Bombyx mori: one gene and its partners. The protein of the gene in region 1 interacts with the protein of each later gene in a pairwise test. Links are inferred from orthologs where the notes say so. Each region holds a gene or a part of one and is shown in the gene's direction. Other genes may lie near its edges.

Region 1 (6,361 bases):
ATGTGTTGAGCACGTGTTGTGCCCATTATGTTCATTGTTTTAGCTCCGTTGCAATCTAGATCGTCTGCCCCATTGACGTGTTGTATTGCGGTTTTTCACGCGATCTCTCCAGCACACGAGAACAGTCATGCCGTGACCGCGCCGTAGCATCAGCGTTTCTGCCACATAATGTTTTTATGTACTACTATTAAATAAATTCATTGTTTTTACAAGTGAATTTTTGACCTACATAAATTCATTGACATCGTTTCGTTGCCCGGTTGTTTTGTCAATTAAATTAAACTTTAAGTGCCAGTTAAGTGTTCTGTGGATGTGAAAGTTTTAGTCTTCAATCGAAATAGCACATAAACATTGCGTACAACTATCGTCTTAACAATTGATATTTTAATGGCTCAATGGAAGTGTTGTGAATGATTTTGTGTTTTGATTTGAATATGTACGAAACTTTAATCGTTATTATTCGTGATTGATTTTGTTTTCGAGTAAAATTTAATGAAAAATATATAGGGCATTCTTTTAGCTGACATAAAATACTTATAAAGTGGACGTTCAAGCCGGATACAGTTGTCGACATGTATGCCACTGTCCGAGTGTGCGGCGATTTCACCAAAGTCACGCACGTCTGAGCTGCCAGCCTATTCAGTCGGTGTTCGCCATTGATTGATCCAGTTATAAGATTCTTTGGTTTTGCCGATGGTTACTATAGTGTGATGTCGTAGATTAGCGCGCCGTGGTAGTGAAAGTAAGCGCGATGCGGGGGACGCTCAGCTGAGCGAAGTGACGTCGCGCGTGACGTTCTCGGATATGGGCCATGTGGAGAATATGCGGCGTCAGTAAGGCAGAGCCCGTACTGTTTGCTGATAACGTAGATAATGATTATGTAAGCGTTATACAATTGCATACCATATTGTCCGACTCGAGTGATCTATGTAATTATTGCATGTTCTTTATCTTTCCTTGTAAGGTGCAATACTTGTAATCATTCGACTTAATGATTATAAGGTGATGACATATATAACTTTGTTTGTCTTTAACGTATTAGTATTATTTAGAATGCACAGGCGCCGGGAGTTTTATGAATTGTCGGCAATGTCCGTTTTGTCATTAGAAGATTGTGTTATCTGTTTGAGGCAGCATACCCTCGATGAAGAAAATGTAGGCTTGACAGTTAAATTGTGATTCAAATTTAGCTTTTTATTTGCGTTTAATGTTTGTTTTAATTTAAGCTGTTTGTGTTGACCTATTTCTGGTGTGTTCCAGCAGCCAACATGGCGGTTGTGGGGGGAAGAGCGCGTGGACGGCGCCATCTACACCGTTTATCTGAAGAAAGTGCGTTACCATCGACCTACCAAAAGTGCTTCAAGTGTAAGTATTTTTAACTATACAAATGTTTCCGACAGCAAAGATAGGCTGTAGGGAGACATTACTTTACTGTGTTGTTGTTATCTCGCCTCGGCGCCAAGGATTTGTTAATTTGATAGATATGTATTTGAATTTTTGCTTAGCGCTAATAATGGATATCGTTTTTAGAACTACTTTTTACTACGGTTTAATCACGCGTTTTTTATTGTCGTTATATTATTTCCAACTTTTTCATTGCGAAAACTGCGAAACGATTACTGTACAAGTGGTAGGACCTCTTGTGAGTCCGCGCGGGTAGGTACCACCGCCCCGCCTATTTCTGCCGTGAAGCAGTAATGCGCTTCGGTTTGAAGGGTGGGGCAGACGTTGTAACTATACTGAGATCTTAGAACTTATATCTCAAGTTGGGTGGCGCATTTACGTTGTAGATGTCCATGGGCTCCAGTAACCACTTAACACCAGGTGGGCCGTGAACTCGTCCAAACATGTAACAATTAAAAAAAAAAGTCAACGTCTTGCGACGACCGATTAATTCACTACATTGTTCTTAGTCTATGTAGATAAACAATAAATATAAGCATTTCGATATAAAAAACGCAATGTGAGTGTTAGCAATAATCTCAATTACACGGCTAGCAATTTTCTTTTTTGGCGTATCGATCAGGTTAACTGGTCGAATTATTTGATGAATCATGTAAATAAACATAACCCAAAATCGTATACAATTTGGAAACTCGAAACACTTTAGCTATAAATATTAATAACTTAAAGCATTTATAGATAGGTACATATTACATTTAGTACATATGTACATCTAGTATATATGTGTATGTATTAATTTAATTTTATTAATGTAGTAGGAAAGATTTGTATTATATTACTTTTTTATTGCTTCCATAATTCTTTGTAAGAATAAGAACGGTGAGAGCATGGCCGTGAAGAGGTATGACCCAAAAGTGGAGTCAAAGAAAATCCATAGTATGAATTCTGCCTACATTCAATTTCTTATAAGTTGTATAAAGAATAATTAAAATAAATTAACAAAATTAAAATAAATGCATAAATAAGGTATCAAAGCCTTGTTTTGGTTTAACAGTTAAGTTGATTAGGTCACTACACCTTAAAACCATTCGTACTCCTTTATTATAATCAGTATATTCTTCTAGAATTATATGAAGTCGTCGTGGCCTAAAGGATAAGACGTCCGGTGCATTCGTGTTGAGCGATGCACCGGTGTTCGAATCTCAGGCCAGTACCAATTTTTCTAATGAAATATGTATTCAACAAATGTTCACGATCGACTTCCACGGTGAAGGAATAACATCATGTAATAAAAATATATATATCCGTAAATGTTATCATACAGGTAGACAATTTTATTCAAATAATATCGAACAACGAACATCTAATAGCAAGTGTACCTATACGCTGTTAATTCGATTGGTGGTCGCGATAACATTATAGTTGTCGAATTAAAACAGTACGTAGCAATAATGTTGGTTTTAACTTTTAATACAGCACTCACATCCCGGATGACCAAAAGTAATATGAATGTGCACACCATTAATGAAGTTACGTACAATTATATATTAAATGTTTATGCTAATAAATGTATGTTTTGATGTTTCAATGTAATATGTGATAAACGAAATCAGACGTAAGTGTCGTTACTAGTGTCACGCCCGTTGTTATTTTTTCACTTTACGTATGACGTATTATATCCATACTATATGATGACGGAGGTTTGCTCGGTTTTTTTTTTGAAAACGCCATCTTTTCGTGTCTTTAAAGCAGTTAGTTGCCCTCAATTAAGAAAAATAGTATTATTATTCGCCAATAGATGTCGGGAAGAGTTGATTATTGAAAACACGAATAAAACAACATTTTCTGAAAATAAATCGTATCGAAAATATCAGTACCTTACAAGAAAATGTATTAATAGTATGAATTTAAAATTTGCGGTGTTAGTGATTGCAGTCCAATTTCGATTATTACTATGCATGTGGAATTGGGTATAAACAGACTCACATCACCACAGAGAAGTAGATGTTTTGAAGCCATTAACTACTACTAAAAATGCAAAATGTTTTTTCCATGAAACTATTCTTGCTTTTGCTTGTAACAATTATTTAGGTAATTGCGTGTCTACATTATGATGAAGATGCAACAAATGAGTTTCTTTTCCCACGGTATTTATCTAGTGATTGGGTTATTATGAGAAGAGGTAGGCGCTAGACCATTGTTAAACATAATTAGTACTGCGTATCGAAATTATGAATGACTTTACAATGGTCGGTAGTGATTCAATGTTATCTAATATCTAAACTAAAATCTTAATATCTAAACAAGCGTAATTAGATAAACTGTGAGTACTCTGAAAATTTCATAATTCGAACTAATAAGGGCCTATTTAAATTCAATAGATTTCATTGTAAAGCAATTAATCATACAAAATTATGTTTTGTTTAATAACGGGCACCTAAATATTAGTCAGAATTAATATTAGTCAGAAGTAGTTATTTACACTTTTAGGTCCTTTTTCCATCGAGAACATTTTACGGTAGGCTACACATGCAACAACACTTTAAAGATAAACATAGATCCTTTTTGGTTTAAAAAATCGATATAACTTTTTAAATTCGTTCCTATTTTCCAGGAGTCTGACGACGAGATCTCACATTTAGAGTGGGAAACCGTACGTGTACGGTTCGTAAAAGCCGGCACAGTCGAGCGGCTAGTGGAGGCGCTCGCTACCGACGACGGCGAACTCGAGTCCACATACGTCAATGTGTTCCTCGCGACGTACCGGTTATTACTATTACTTATTTATAACTAGCTAACCCGGCAGACTTCGTAGTGCCTCAATCGATAAATAAAAGAGAGATAAATAAGCTTTTGTTTAAAATAAAACAAACAAAAGGAATCCGACCGAGGGGGGACACATCAAAGGAAAAACAAAATTGTTATTTTTATTTAATTCCAGCATTTTCATATTTATCTACCTTTTAAACCTTCTCTGGACTTCCACAAATAATTTAAGACCAAAATTAGCCAAATCGGTCCAGCCGTTCCCGAGTTTTAGCGAGACTAACGAACAGCAATTCATTTTTATATAGAAGATAGATTTAGATTCCGATTCATATTTAATTTAACAAAAGATACGATTTTTTTAAACTTTAAAATGTATGTTCGTATACACCTCAAGTAGTTCAGTTCATAGACATGATAACTTTAATGACTAGTGAAGTTTCAATTATTACATAATCGAATCTTCAAATGATAATATGTATAGTATCTATAGGTACGACTAATTCTTTCGGCTGACGGTGTCTCTGTCATTGCTACTATCCATAGGCGACGCTAACCAATTACTGCCAGATGGGTTTTTTATTTTTTATGGCTTAGAGGGGTGGATGAGCTCAGAGCCCACCTGGTGTTAAGTGGTTACTGGAGCCCATAGACATCTACGACATAAATGCGCCACTCACCTTGAGATATAAGTTCTATGGTCTCAAGTATAGTCACAACGGCAGCCACAGCCTTCAAGCCGAAACGCATTACTGCTTCACGGCATTACTTATATTTATATAATTAACACTCTGACTTCATGGCCTATGGTGGATGTCAGCATTCAACTTATGATGTCTATGACGATAAAACTGCTATCACAAATTATTGTCATTTCATTTTCAGGTCATTCGCGGAATGCAGTCATGTTCTGGATCTCCTGCTGCGACGGTATGAAACCCTTGCCGCTGAGGACATACTTCCCGCTGCGACTGACACATCACAACAACACCGAAAGTATGTTTCACGTAATTTCTATTAAGATGAAGAATTAGATTGTAGTGTTGTTATTAATTAGTTATTTGTTATTTAGACGGATAAATCAACTTGTTTCCCAGCTAGTGTTAAGTAGTTAGCGAAGCCCATAAACTTCAAGATATTGCGATAAAAGCTCTAAGTCTCACTGTTATGGTATAACGGCTGCCCCATCCTTCAAAATGGAAGGCATTACTGCTTCGTGGCAAAAATAGGTGGAAAATAATGGGGTGTAAGACGTAAATAAGTTGTCATTGTAAACTTTACGGGGCTACCATTTTCGAATTTCATTTTATTTGTAAAATCCCATTTTATATTAATTTTTTTTTATTTGTTATGTTCAGATAATGTAACAATTTATTAACTTGCATTAATGATTGTAACTATCAACAAAATGTCACGTTATATAAACACTGAGAGCTTCGAATAAAGTATTTAAAAATTGTGCGTACATTATTAAATAGTATGAAGCAAATAGTGTAGTTCACGATTTCGTTATGTTTTGTGTTTCAATTTACTAAAGATACAGTTGAGTTCCAGTTTTTTTTTTATTGCATAGCCAGGTAAACGAGCTGCTGTTAAGTGGTTATCAGAACCCACAGACCACGTAAATGGCGACGTCCACCTTGAGACATGAGGCCCAACCTTCAAATCGAAACATTTTATTACTTCGCGAATTACTTTCGAGGGATGGTAGGAATTTTATCTAAGCTAGCTTTAAAAGTATTTGCATAAAAATTAAAACGGGTGCAAGAAAGCTGATGTGGATTTTTTACGCTCTTATTTCACTAAAGTTCATCTTAATAATCGACAACTTTTTTGTTGTATACAAAAGGCCGTGTTGGCCTCGCAATTAAAATAATAACAAAGTTTGTTTTGTTGAACACAAACGTTTCATATTTGAACCAGGATTTACTCCTATACCTGAAAAATATCGGGCCTGATATAAAAGAGGTGACCATGTGTTAGCGTATTGTCAATCAGATTAAATTGTGTACAGACGCTACAGCTAATAGAATGTAAATGAGCGCAATATAGCTCAAAACAGCTGGTCGAATTATTTCGCTCGTGTAACTGTTTGTGTTTTTGCAATAATAAGTTTACTATTTGTTTTATTATTATCTATATTTCAGGACTCTTGTAGCGTGTCTCCACGTGTGGTTGGACACATATCCGG
Region 2 (5,024 bases), on another chromosome or scaffold:
TTTCCGTATGATGTTCCTCCAATAATTCCGACTCTCAGCTGCACATGATGTCTCGGCGACCTTGATTCGGCCTGTTAGGCGTATTGGACTCTATCATTTTTCGCTCCAGTTTTCTGGTGACGATCAATTTTTGAGGAGGACTGCTGTAACCATTTGACGTCAGATTTTTTTTATTGCTTAGATGGTTGGACGAGCTCACAGCCCATCTGGTGTTGAGTGGTTACTGGAGCCCATAGACATCTACAACGTAAATGCGCCACCCACCTTAAAAATGTCCATCAGACATATGTCTATCCATAGCTATAAAACAAACAACTTTGTATGTAAACACGTTTAATTTTAACTTAAATACAAGTTCCATAAATGTTTATCACCATAATATCGCTTAACAAATACAAAAACATGACGTCGTTTAGCGGCCATTGTTTCCCTTCGCCTATGTCATTCGTTCGATCAGTGACGTCAACGACAGCTAAGAACGTCAGCTTATGACTTAGTGATTCGTTAATAATATCAGCTAACGTCATATGTTGAGCATCGTCTTTGCATCGATAAGTCGGTTTTTCACTTATCAAATGAAATTTTTTAAGCTCTCGTCACGGTTTATATTTGAATAATTCCAAACCAAATTTAGAAGAGAGAGAGAGTGTTCTAATGTAAACCAAAAAAGTAAATTGTAAAAAAGTTTTTTTTTATTGCCTTTTTTGATGGGTGGACGAGCTCACAGTCCACCTGTTGTTAAGTGGTCACTGGAGCCCATAGACATCTACAACGTAAATACACCACCCACCTTGAGATGTAAGTTCTAAGGTCTCAGTATAGTTACAACGGCTGCCCTACCCTTCAAACCGAAACGCATTACTGCTTCACGGCAGAAATAGGCAGGGCGGTGGTACCTACCCGTGCGGACTCACAAGAGGTTCTATCACCAGTAATTACGCAAATTATAATTTTGCAGGTTTGATTTATATTACACGATGTTATTCCTTCACCGTGGAAGTCAATCATGAACATTTGTTAAGTGCGTATTTTATTAAAAAAATTGGTACCTGCCTGCGGGATTCGAATACCGGTGAATCGCTAGATACGAATGCACCGGACATCTTATCCTTTGGGCCACGACGACTTCTGTAAAATGCTAAACATTAAATACAAGAAAAAAGTACAATTGGCGGTATTATCTCTAAGAGCGATCTCTAAGAGAGAAGCATAGCATACTTTATGTTCAATAGCGGGGACGTAGTAATAAACAAAGAGGCGGTCCTGATATTAAGTGGTTACCGCGGCCCGTGGACATCATAGTCTGAAAGTTATAATTGTTTTATTGCCGAGAGCAGTGAACGAGTTCGCGACCCACCTTGATTACCGTAGTCCATAGACATCGCAACGTGAACCACGAGGCATGAGGTCGAAATCCCGATTGTTTAACAACTACAGCTGATCTCACGTTGCATTGTCTATATCATATCTGTCTCTTATGTCCCAGTTTATCGTTTTTAATCAGATGGACGTTGAGTTTAAACTTTCACGTCATGATAACAATATCGATTTGCTTGTGGTAGCCTCTGGGAACTCACAGTGCTCCGCACCAATAGAAGTACTCGCAACCGGAATTAAGTATAAAGATATGAGTTATGTTGGAATATGGACCGATGATTGAGGAGTGATGGGAGTAGTTATAATCTAGAGGTGGCCTAGGTCACATACGTATCTTCTGATTAATAACCCCAGAGATTGACATTTATGACCTCTGTTATAATTCCATTACCAGTAATTTAATTTGGACAAGACCTTTGCAAGAGTATTAAAACCAAAAAGTCCCTATACACCTATATTAACTTACGTTACACAACTGATTCAAAAAAGTACCTCAATTTCGATAACTCTAAGCATGTTTCTTGAGAGTAAAATAAGTTCTTACAACTCAAATATGGAAAACCGGCCACCACCTGCTTAGCTAAGCCCGGGTATTGTTGATGTTTATAAGGATTTATGATCGCACACAATGTGGTGGGACGTATGCTCCTTATTTTAATACGTAACAATATTATTGCAGGTGGCGCAAAGCTATAATGTTCCGTTCGTCGAAACATCGGCCAAAACACGCATGGGAGTTGACGACGCTTTCTACACGCTCGTGAGGGAGATACGCAAAGATAAAGTCAGCCGAGACAAGAAATTCAAAGGGAAGAAACCACGTCACGTTCACAAAATAATTAAAGATTGCACCCTTTTTTAAGCTGAAAAGAGCTGCAGTTTCGGAATTACACGCTTGTCTTTCGCCTCCACCGCCCATATAGTATTACAGACCTCATAAAAGAAGCAAGGCAGAGATTAAATTTGTAGTTTTTGCATGCATTGTATCGTGAACCATTAATTTGGCGGTAAAAAAACCGGTTGTGTCACCTTTCGAAAACAGTACCATAGATTATATTACACGCAAACGGATATGTTGCCAATTGTGCGGGTGTGTGTGTGCGTTAGCATCTCGAACTCTGATTTGTCCGTAAAAAAATGATTTTACTGTAGACTGTAGATCACGAAAGAACATCCTAAGAATCTTAATTAATACAAATACAAATTGCGTGTCTACGTGTTTATATGTGTGGATACGGCCGTCTGGCAAGCGTGTAAACCCGGCATACGTCACCGTTCACTCGGCATCGTCTGTAGCGAGCGAATAATATATTTCAATTTACAAAAACCTTGGTCTTACGAGATTTTATATCCATTCTTCATAAAGGGACTGGTTGTTTGTTGCAAAGTCAATTTCGTTTTACAAAGAAAATATTAGTGTAGAAGAGGCAATAAATATAATAACTAAAAAAATCGAAATTCCTTTCCGAAGCATTTTGGCCTAAAGATAACATCGTTTTGCCATTAAAAAAATACAAACAAAAAACTTAAGAAATTACAAATAAATGAAATGTAATTTTTTTTTTTGTGTTCTGAATTATTATTTATTATAATCCAGTTCCTTTTATTACGTCTGTCAGCCGTTCGCTTCTAACTAGGTATAATATAGAAGGTCTTTGAAGATAATTGAACCAGTTTAAAAAATCCTTAAATAAATAAATAAATAATTAAGTTTCATTATCCGCTCAAACGGCGGCATTAAATAAGGTATAATATCAAAATTTGTTATCAATTTAATGTATTATTAATAAGATCATTGTTGGATGTTTTCTACTGTAGCTAATGTAATGTTTAGCGCGACTTTTTTCTATATCTACAAATCGAGAGCTATAATGCTTGGTTCTCTTCTTTTTTTTCTATGCATTTTTACTGTTGTATGTTCTAACGACGCTGTTTCAGATACTTTATCATCTGCAGGAAGCCTAAATTAAAATTGCCAACGCGAACAGTAATTTTGTAGGACACTATAAATTCAGAACATACCTGTCGCAGTGTACAATGAATCATGCAAACGAATTTTTTTTTGGGTTTTTTTTTAACAGAATAACAAAATAATATTGTCATTTTACTGTAGTTTTAGTTGTATTGCGTTTCAATACGTAGTTTAAGTATTTTAAGTGAACAAAGTGCAATCGAAAATACAGTAATAAAATTAAAATACACAATTTTTTTATTTTTGTTTGTATTTTTGTTTGCACGTTGTATTTAGTTTTATTTAGAACAAAACGCGGTAAGGCGTTGCCATGGAGACAGTACCAGCAATATCATTGCCATTATATATATATTATTTTTTTCTTACAACTTACCATCAAAAATGTAATTTTTGTTTAAAAATTTTCTGTATTTATGGAATAATTAATCAAATGAAATTTCACGTGTAACGTTCGTGTCATACGTTTTTATTGTATAATTAATAAAATAGGAGTTTCGAAGCTAATGCACAATTTTGTTGAAAATAGTTTTATCTTTTAACTCTAAAATACTGTAACTGTATAGCACAATTGTGTGCTCATGAAAATAAATTAACTAAGTACATACTATTTTTATTTTACAACCGCGGTCCAATCCTCCATTTTATCAATAGGTACTGCATGATTTGGAAAAAACAAAATGACCTACATTGCTATGCATATTGCTAAACTATGTCTCCGGTTACTATACTGTAATTAGACAAAGACAAACACTAACATTGTGTTTATGTTTCGTTACATACTCATAACTGTTTTTAAGCTACTGCATAGCTTCTATCGCGGGCCTTGAGCGCGGCGACTGAATCAAGAAATTCCGTAACGAAAATAACCTGACACCCCCCACTACGCCTACTAGGTAGCTCACGTTAAACACATTCACACGTTGCACTTGTGTAGTGTTTGTGAATAAGCGCGCGGCGTGACGTCGCACTGCCGCATGCACATCATGAAAAGTCTGCCCATCTCCGTCGCGCGGTCTAGGTTATGAGTGTGAAGGGGACAGTTAATGTTTTGCTTTTGTTAATGTTTGTAAATATAGCGTGGTCTTATTTCATTGTTGTTTTAATATTAAATTATTATTTTCGATTTATAATTGCATAAGTTGATAAAAAATGCTATGCAATAGCTTTACCGCAGCAGTCTCAGAGTAAAAAGAGTCTTTAGTAAAAACAATAGACAAGCCTTAGTCTGTTTTCTTGGAAATGAGCATTTTTTTTAAATGTCTGTTAAATAATAGATTTAGAAATTAATCTAAATATTGGTCTCGGTGATTATGTACCAACTTCGATTATTCGGCTTGTATTCGCCAAATGATTGTAGTTGGACCACATAGTATTTCTCCGGGTGTCTGACACCTGATAAACATAATTGCTTTGATGGAATTTAACACATTGACTGGCATGTGGATCAGATTGACAACACTGTTAGAGTTATATCAGATTAAGCAATTCTCTTCTCTTGGAGACAAGCAGCTGCACATAACTTTGGCCAACAGTGTTGCCAAGTCAATAAAGCAGATTAATGTCGAATTTTCGATATCCGTGGTCTGGTGTACTAGTGACTTTCCTGTTTCTGACTTTCTGACACCCTTAATACTAAAATTTCGCTTGGGTCCGCTGATACTATGAATAAAAAAAT
Region 3 (6,853 bases), on another chromosome or scaffold:
ACTTTTTCTTTAAATCTGTTTAAGGTCAATTTTGTTTAAGTGTGAATAAAAGTTTCGCTGAAATCAATCTTTATTACGTGAGTATTTTTGCCTAACTATTGCTAGTAACCTCGAAGAGTCGTGCTAGCTTCACCGGACATCTAGACAAGCTCAGGGGGCTCAGCCTGGGTTACGTGAGTAAACAAGTGCAATAGTTACTATAATAGTTTATTTATTTAGTACAGTCTTGTTACAAACTAACAGTTAAACCAAATATGCGTTAAGGAATTATTGGTAGCTTATGTAGCTTTTGACAACAGCTACGTATCGCTTCAAACCGTCATTGAATACCTATATCCATAGGCTGCTAAGGCATTCAGTGGCGAGACAACACAATGCAGCGGCTTGGCTCTGCCCCTGGCATTGCTGAAGTCCATGGGCGACGGTAACCACTCACCATCAGGTGGGCCGTGTGCTCGTCTACCTAAGAGGGCAATAAAAAAAATCGTTCCAAAGTTGGCGATGAGCTGTATAATTTTTTCTTTAATTTTACTGTCCTGACAACCCTGTTTATGAGCTGCTATTGCCAGATTGCTCCTACATTATCGATTTCTTTACATAATCAGGGGGTCTACTTCTATCTTTTTCCCAACTTTTCTTAACCAATTCATTATTGCTATTTTTATTCGCTTAAGGAAACCCGCCACGATTTGGCACGATTTGGCATATTAGTTTAACGTATTAGTTATAATTCGCGACCTTTTTTTTTTTTTTTTTTTTTCGGGTAGAGGGCCGAACCTCCTACGAGGTCCCCGCGCAAAAGGGGCGCGCGGGGTATGTGAGACTCAACGATCTGCATGGTGTTGTGAGCAGACCGCGGGCCCAAGGATTTTAGGACCCACCCACTAAACGACTCCCCTGCACTCTTACACCCGACGTCCGATCCCCTCCGAGGTCAGAACCCGGATGAGGTAGGGGGGCTACCGCGGTCAACTCTACAACCAGACGGCGCGGCTCACCCCAAGGACGCCCAGCCGACGTATAATTCGCGACCTGCCCTTTCGAGCTTATATAATACAATCAATAAATATTTATGTAAACTTCAATAGTATCACCCTACATCTTCCTTCACTCAATCAGAGAATACACAGAAGCGTTGTCCGTATGAATGTAAAATATAAATAATAATTATCATATTTTTTAATTCTCATAGACGAGGGCAGCCTCGGAATCATAGAAATTCTACGTGTTAACCCATTAAATGTGTTTGACTCGACAATATATGGCTCACTTTGACATGACTTACAGCTTCACGACTGGGCACATTCTTGAAGACGTTAACCTCCGTGAATCATCTTCCTGGTATGCAATCAAAGACTAATAGTAAATTATCAACTTACAACATGCATTTCAAGAATGTAATCTTTTCACAATTCAAACGCAATAATTTTACTTGTACAAGTAGATCTGTGGGCTTTAGTTAGTGAAAGAAAGTTAGTAAAGAAGGACCCCTTTGTCATGGCGCCGCAATTCCAAGGATTATCCCTGCAACCTTCCGAGAGTATAGGGATACTTGGGGTCGACATTTCGAGCGATATCCAATTTCGGAGTCATTTAGAAAGTAAAGACAAGCTAGCGTCCAAAATGCTGGGAGTCCTCAACAGAGCGAAGCGGTACTTCACGCCTGGACAAAGACTTGCTTTATAAAGCACGAGTCCGGCTTCGCGTGGAGTACTACTCCCATCTCTGGGCCGGGGCTCCCAAATACAAGCTTCTTCCATTTGACTCCATACAGTAGAGGACGGTCCGGATTGTCGATAATCCCATTCTCACGGATCGTTTGGAGCCTCTGGGTCTGCGGAGGGACTTCGGCTCCCTCTGTATTTTGTACCGTATGTGCTATGGGGAGTGCTCTGAAGAATTGTTTGATATGATCCCCTCATCTCCTTTTTATCATCGCACCTCACGCCATCGGAGCAGAGTTCATCCATATTATCTGGAACCGTGCGTTCATCGACAGTGCGTTTCCAGAGGTCTTTTTTGCCACGTACCATCCGGCTTTGGAATGAGCTCCCCTCCACGGTGTTTCCCGAGCGCTATGACATGTCCTTCTTCAAACGAGGCTCGTGGAGAGTATTAAGCGGTAGCCAGTGGCTTGACTCTGCCCCTGGCATTGTTGAAGTCCATGGGCAACGGTAACCACTCACCGTCAGGTGGGCCGTATGCTCAGTGGCGGATTTGCAGTCTCGGCCGCCCTAAGCCCCAAGCCATTAGCCGCCCCTTTCTCAGCATCCACCATATAGACTACATAATGAAATTACTTTATTGCCAACTTTTAGCTAAATAGATTTAGAAAAGTAGGAAAAAAAATAGTTTAAAAAACAGAAGAATATTTAAGGATGCGGTATAGATTGCATCATGCAGTGCAGTCCGCCCGCCATACGTTAAATCCTTAAATCTGGCCGCCCTAGGCCCGGGCCTACCGGGCCTTAGGGTAAATCCGCCACTGCGTCTGCCTACAAGGGCAATAAACAAAAAAAAGCCCTGGAGATCTCGCGACCCAGTCGTATTAAAGCATGAGGCATTTGAAGACACCATTTTATTCATTGGAACGGCCTCCTTTAAAACTGAGATTGCTTCATTAAATAAAAAATAAACAGGAGGATGATATAAAGAAATAAAATTTATAATATAGCTTATACTGATAACAATTAATTCTCCCTAAAGTGTCGTGTCCTTAGCGACAACCTTTTGAAAATTTGTTGCACTGCCCTCTGTACACAGCTTTTAGAACTATTAGCAGTCTAAATAAATAAAAATTGTCTTGCGTAGCTACACTAGCTACATAGATAAAAAAACGAAAAATTTATCAAATAACATACGATTCCTTTTTTTAAAAATTACACTAATTAATATTATAAAATTATTTTTTACGAAAATTTGTTAAATTAATGCATTTATTCGCTAGTCAGTACAATTGATTGTTCTAAATGAAATAATTGTACTGGTCCTGTGCAGCGTCCTGTTCATGATTTTTTATTAGTCGTTCTGTGTCTGCTAAAAGTAGAACACGAAACAAAAATAGTTTTATTTAAATTAGCCGAGTCGATATACTATAGTTTGTGAGTAGAAATATTTATATTCTTAATACTAGTGAACTGAATAGTAGGTAGTCAATGGGAAATCAGGTTAATTTTTCAAGTCAGCAACACTAACATAGTGAGCCATCGCCCTCTTAACGGTGTCATGGCGGTTTGACTTGTTGAAGGTTTTTTTTGCAATAATTACCAAGTTAATGTGCTTATTACCGATTTGATCTTTAATTTCTATAAACAAATTCAAGTGACACAATATAGGGAATAATGCGCGAGTACAAAATAGTTGTGTTAGGCAGCGGAGGCGTGGGAAAGTCCGCCCTGACAGTGCAATTTGTACAAGGCATCTTTGTCGAGAAATACGACCCAACCATCGAAGACAGCTACAGGAAACAAGTGGAAGTTGATGGACAGCAATGTATGCTCGAGATCCTGGATACCGCAGGTACAGAGCAGTTTACCGCGATGCGGGATCTCTACATGAAGAACGGGCAAGGGTTCGTGTTGGTGTACTCTATCACAGCACAGTCTACGTTCAATGACCTACAGGATCTACGTGAACAAATCCTGCGAGTGAAGGACACGACCGACGTGCCAATGGTTCTGGTAGGCAACAAAACCGATCTAGAGGCGGAGCGCGTGGTTGGCAAGGAACAGGGACAAAATCTGGCGCGCCACTTCAACTGCGCTTTCATGGAGACGTCGGCAAAAGCGAAAATACATGTTAACGATGTGTTCTATGACTTAGTGAGACAGATCAACAAGAAGTCCCCCAAGAAGGATGAACACAAACCTAATAAACGGAAATGTATTATTCTGTAAGAGTGCTGTACGAGTCTCCGACGCGTCTAGGTATAAATATATTTAATAATTTGAAAGACTTCTTGTACCCAGATTTGGCTCTCGGCAGTTCCCAAAGTTTATCTAGGTCGGGTGATGAACATTGTTGCTTCAAAATACCTGTATGAGAATGTGTGTTTGTTACACTGTATATTACATGTGCGGTAACACTCGTGAAATCCAGTGTCACTGATGATAACCACATTTTCTCTGTACAGGCGTAGTTAATAATATCTTACTCTATTTTGATAGTACAGTATTTGAGGATAAATTCATTGTCTTTGTGTGTTTCACTCTAGAAAATTCCATTTGTATTGTGTGGATGCGGTTAGATTGCGAAGTTGTAAATGATTATAAAAAAAATATTCCTTTACTACTTATGATGTAAAACATTGTATTTTGAGCCTATGGGGAGTGTGTCCCATTCTTATCTAAAACTTCAAAGTATATGATTGAACAAACCGTAATAGACTCCACAGTAAATATTTTTCGATGTCAGCATGCACTCTCCATGGCCTCCTCAGTATTAGAATCAATTCCATTTTTTTTTTCAAAATTCAGTGGAAAATTTTATGAATTGTGTTATTATAAATAACCGTGTTGGGTACAGACAGTCTTCTGTCAATTACACAGGAAAATTCCTGAGAAAACAACACATTTGCCATGAAACGCATCAAGGGCACACGCATTAAACAAACAATTCATATTATTCATTTGAAATTGTTAAAATGCCAGTTATTAAGCATTTAGTTTTTATTTGCTGTTTGGACCTAACATAAGGTTGTTAACTAGAGTCTAATTGTACTGATTGGAATTATCCGTTATGTCTATGTGACATTTAGACGGAGGCTGTAGAAGACAAGCTCGGTGTATTCTGTGCCAGCTGGTCTGAACCAGTGTAATGTTTAATAATTAAGGATACATTAAATTTTTTCAGATATATTATTGTCTTGTTATATAATTCAAGTGTATTGAAGAGAATGTTAGCGTAACAGTTTAGAACTTGATAAATTTAAATTTTAGAGAAGCCTTAGGTGATTGCACCCTGCAGATAGTTGTTGATGTCTCTATGGTGGAGTCCTGTGCCATTTGTTGTGCTTACACCATTGGCACTGTACAATTGACCCCTAAAAATATAAAGAGTTCTAAATAAAAATTATCGTTATTATAAATAAAATGAAGTTTACTAATTACAGTCTCATTTTTTAATATTAATTAAATACCAGCCAACGTTTTGCTGCTAGAACTTTGTTAAAAGTAATGATAGATGTTTGAAATATTGTTACGAGAATTAGATGTTTCCTCAATTTTTCTTCTGTTAAAGTTAATGACTACTGCACAAGGATATTGGTATAAAAACTTTGATCTGAGTTTTTAATTATATTTTTTTATATATATTGTGCAAATCAAAGAAAATATTGTATATTTTTATCTTTCGATCAATAATAATCGACATGTACAATAAATATTAATTTCTTTTTCTTTTGCAAATTTATCAATAAAACCAATTTTAAATATGATGTCTTAGGGTATATTTTGTCCCTCCCGTGATGCTCCCCTCATGTCAATTGACCTGGTTAGTGTCTGATGAGTCATGGTACAACTATCGGTCCTGGCGCGACGTACCCCCACCGACAATCAAATAAACACCAATTGACTCGGAGAATTTTAATGGTTTATAATCAAATTAAACGACAGCACATCATCTGCTACTATTTTATTTCAGTGTAAAAAAGATACATAAAAAGTGTTGCTTACACGTTATAGAACACACAATAATATTAAATATAAACGCAGTGAGACGTGGCGGTCGTATGTCGACATTCTAGTAACATAAGAATTGACACAGTCCTACATATTAACGTAATTCTAACAAAGTACGACAGAACTATGATAATCAAGCAATCTAGCTAGTTAGATAAAATAAGTATTATATTAATTCACCACTGGCACACCCCATATTGTGTAACAAGATCTAACGCATAGATCGAGCACACCATGGGATGAACTATGAAGCTAAATTAAACTTAATTTGCAATATGGTGGGTTTGAAAAGCCGTGAATGTAAAGGTCACAATTTGAATGCTCTGGATCTATATAGACTTCCCACGCAATACGTTCTTTATTGATCACATTCATAAGAGCGTTTTATTACAAGTTTTTCGAATTCCCGATTTCGTTTTGAAATGGAATGCAGAGTAAAACTTGCATAACAATGCAGTATAAGTACGCTGCATAAAAACAATTCGCTTTTATCAGGATGTTAGGCAACGTCTAGCTTGCTTATCTACGCAGCGGGGTCAAATTGTGATTCAATACAACTAACTATATCCGAAACCAGATTACCTATACGTTTTCTATAATATGAAATTTGCTTTATGATAACTGTAGGTACGTAAAAATACATAGCGATAAGTGTAAATTCCTTCGAGTGCGATATGATTTTGTGGAAACCAGTGCATCGACAATCCGATATCTACGACTTGGAACGTGTAAAAATTATCTTAATTTTTTTTAAATTCTATTTCGTTCACTACTAAAGTTTTAATCCAAAAATTTGTGTTTTTAAGACTACAATTTTAAGATTCATAAGTAATTCGAGGCGGAAATATGATTAAAATTTAATTTTTAAAACCCAATTGGACGGAATTGTTTTCATGGTAATTACTTACGAATACATCTCTAAAATTACAATAGAATAGTTGAACTTGAATAATTTGAATAACAAACACGATTAATAATGTCGTTATTCACGTATAAGCTGGTCGCGAATAATTTTGCGAATTGTAAGAACTCTTTTATTTTCAATTAAAATGAATTGGATTACATAACGACTAGAACATTCTTCGAAAAGTGGGCGGTAAACGGGCTGTTAATGTGGGCAGTTACGATATTTTCCCATGTACTTTTTTGGTAATGTAAACTTATTTAAATCACAT

What was found.
Region 2: the proteins of ral guanine nucleotide dissociation stimulator (region 1) and Ras1 interact in a two-hybrid assay, tested with the Drosophila melanogaster proteins (2 studies listed by BioGRID). The link is inferred for Bombyx mori from reciprocal best matches to the Drosophila melanogaster genes Rgl and Ras85D.
Region 3: the proteins of ral guanine nucleotide dissociation stimulator (region 1) and Ras3 interact in a two-hybrid assay, tested with the Drosophila melanogaster proteins (2 studies listed by BioGRID). The link is inferred for Bombyx mori from reciprocal best matches to the Drosophila melanogaster genes Rgl and Rap1.

Annotation. Positions count from the first base shown.
Region 1 is NC_085110.1:13,023,230-13,029,590, forward strand, and holds part of ral guanine nucleotide dissociation stimulator, read left to right. Parts: intron 1-89; exon of another isoform or gene 90-811; coding exon of another isoform or gene 812-880; intron 881-1,260; coding exon 1,261-1,365; intron 1,366-4,018; coding exon 4,019-4,170; intron 4,171-5,055; coding exon 5,056-5,166; intron 5,167-6,317; coding exon 6,318-6,361.
Region 2 is NC_085127.1:13,616,677-13,621,700, reverse strand, and holds the end of Ras1 (ras-like protein 1), read left to right. Parts: exon of another isoform or gene 1-300; intron 301-374; exon of another isoform or gene 375-595; intron 596-2,056; coding exon 2,057-2,239; 3' UTR 2,240-2,880; downstream 2,881-5,024. UniProt on the Drosophila melanogaster protein: Ras proteins bind GDP/GTP and possess intrinsic GTPase activity. Plays a role in eye development by regulating cell growth, survival of postmitotic ommatidial cells and differentiation of photoreceptor cells.
Region 3 is NC_085112.1:14,077,588-14,084,440, reverse strand, and holds Ras3 (ras protein), read left to right. Parts: upstream 1-3,230; 5' UTR 3,231-3,341; coding exon 3,342-3,896; 3' UTR 3,897-5,434; downstream 5,435-6,853. UniProt on the Drosophila melanogaster protein: Ras proteins bind GDP/GTP and possess intrinsic GTPase activity. Plays a role in photoreceptor cell determination.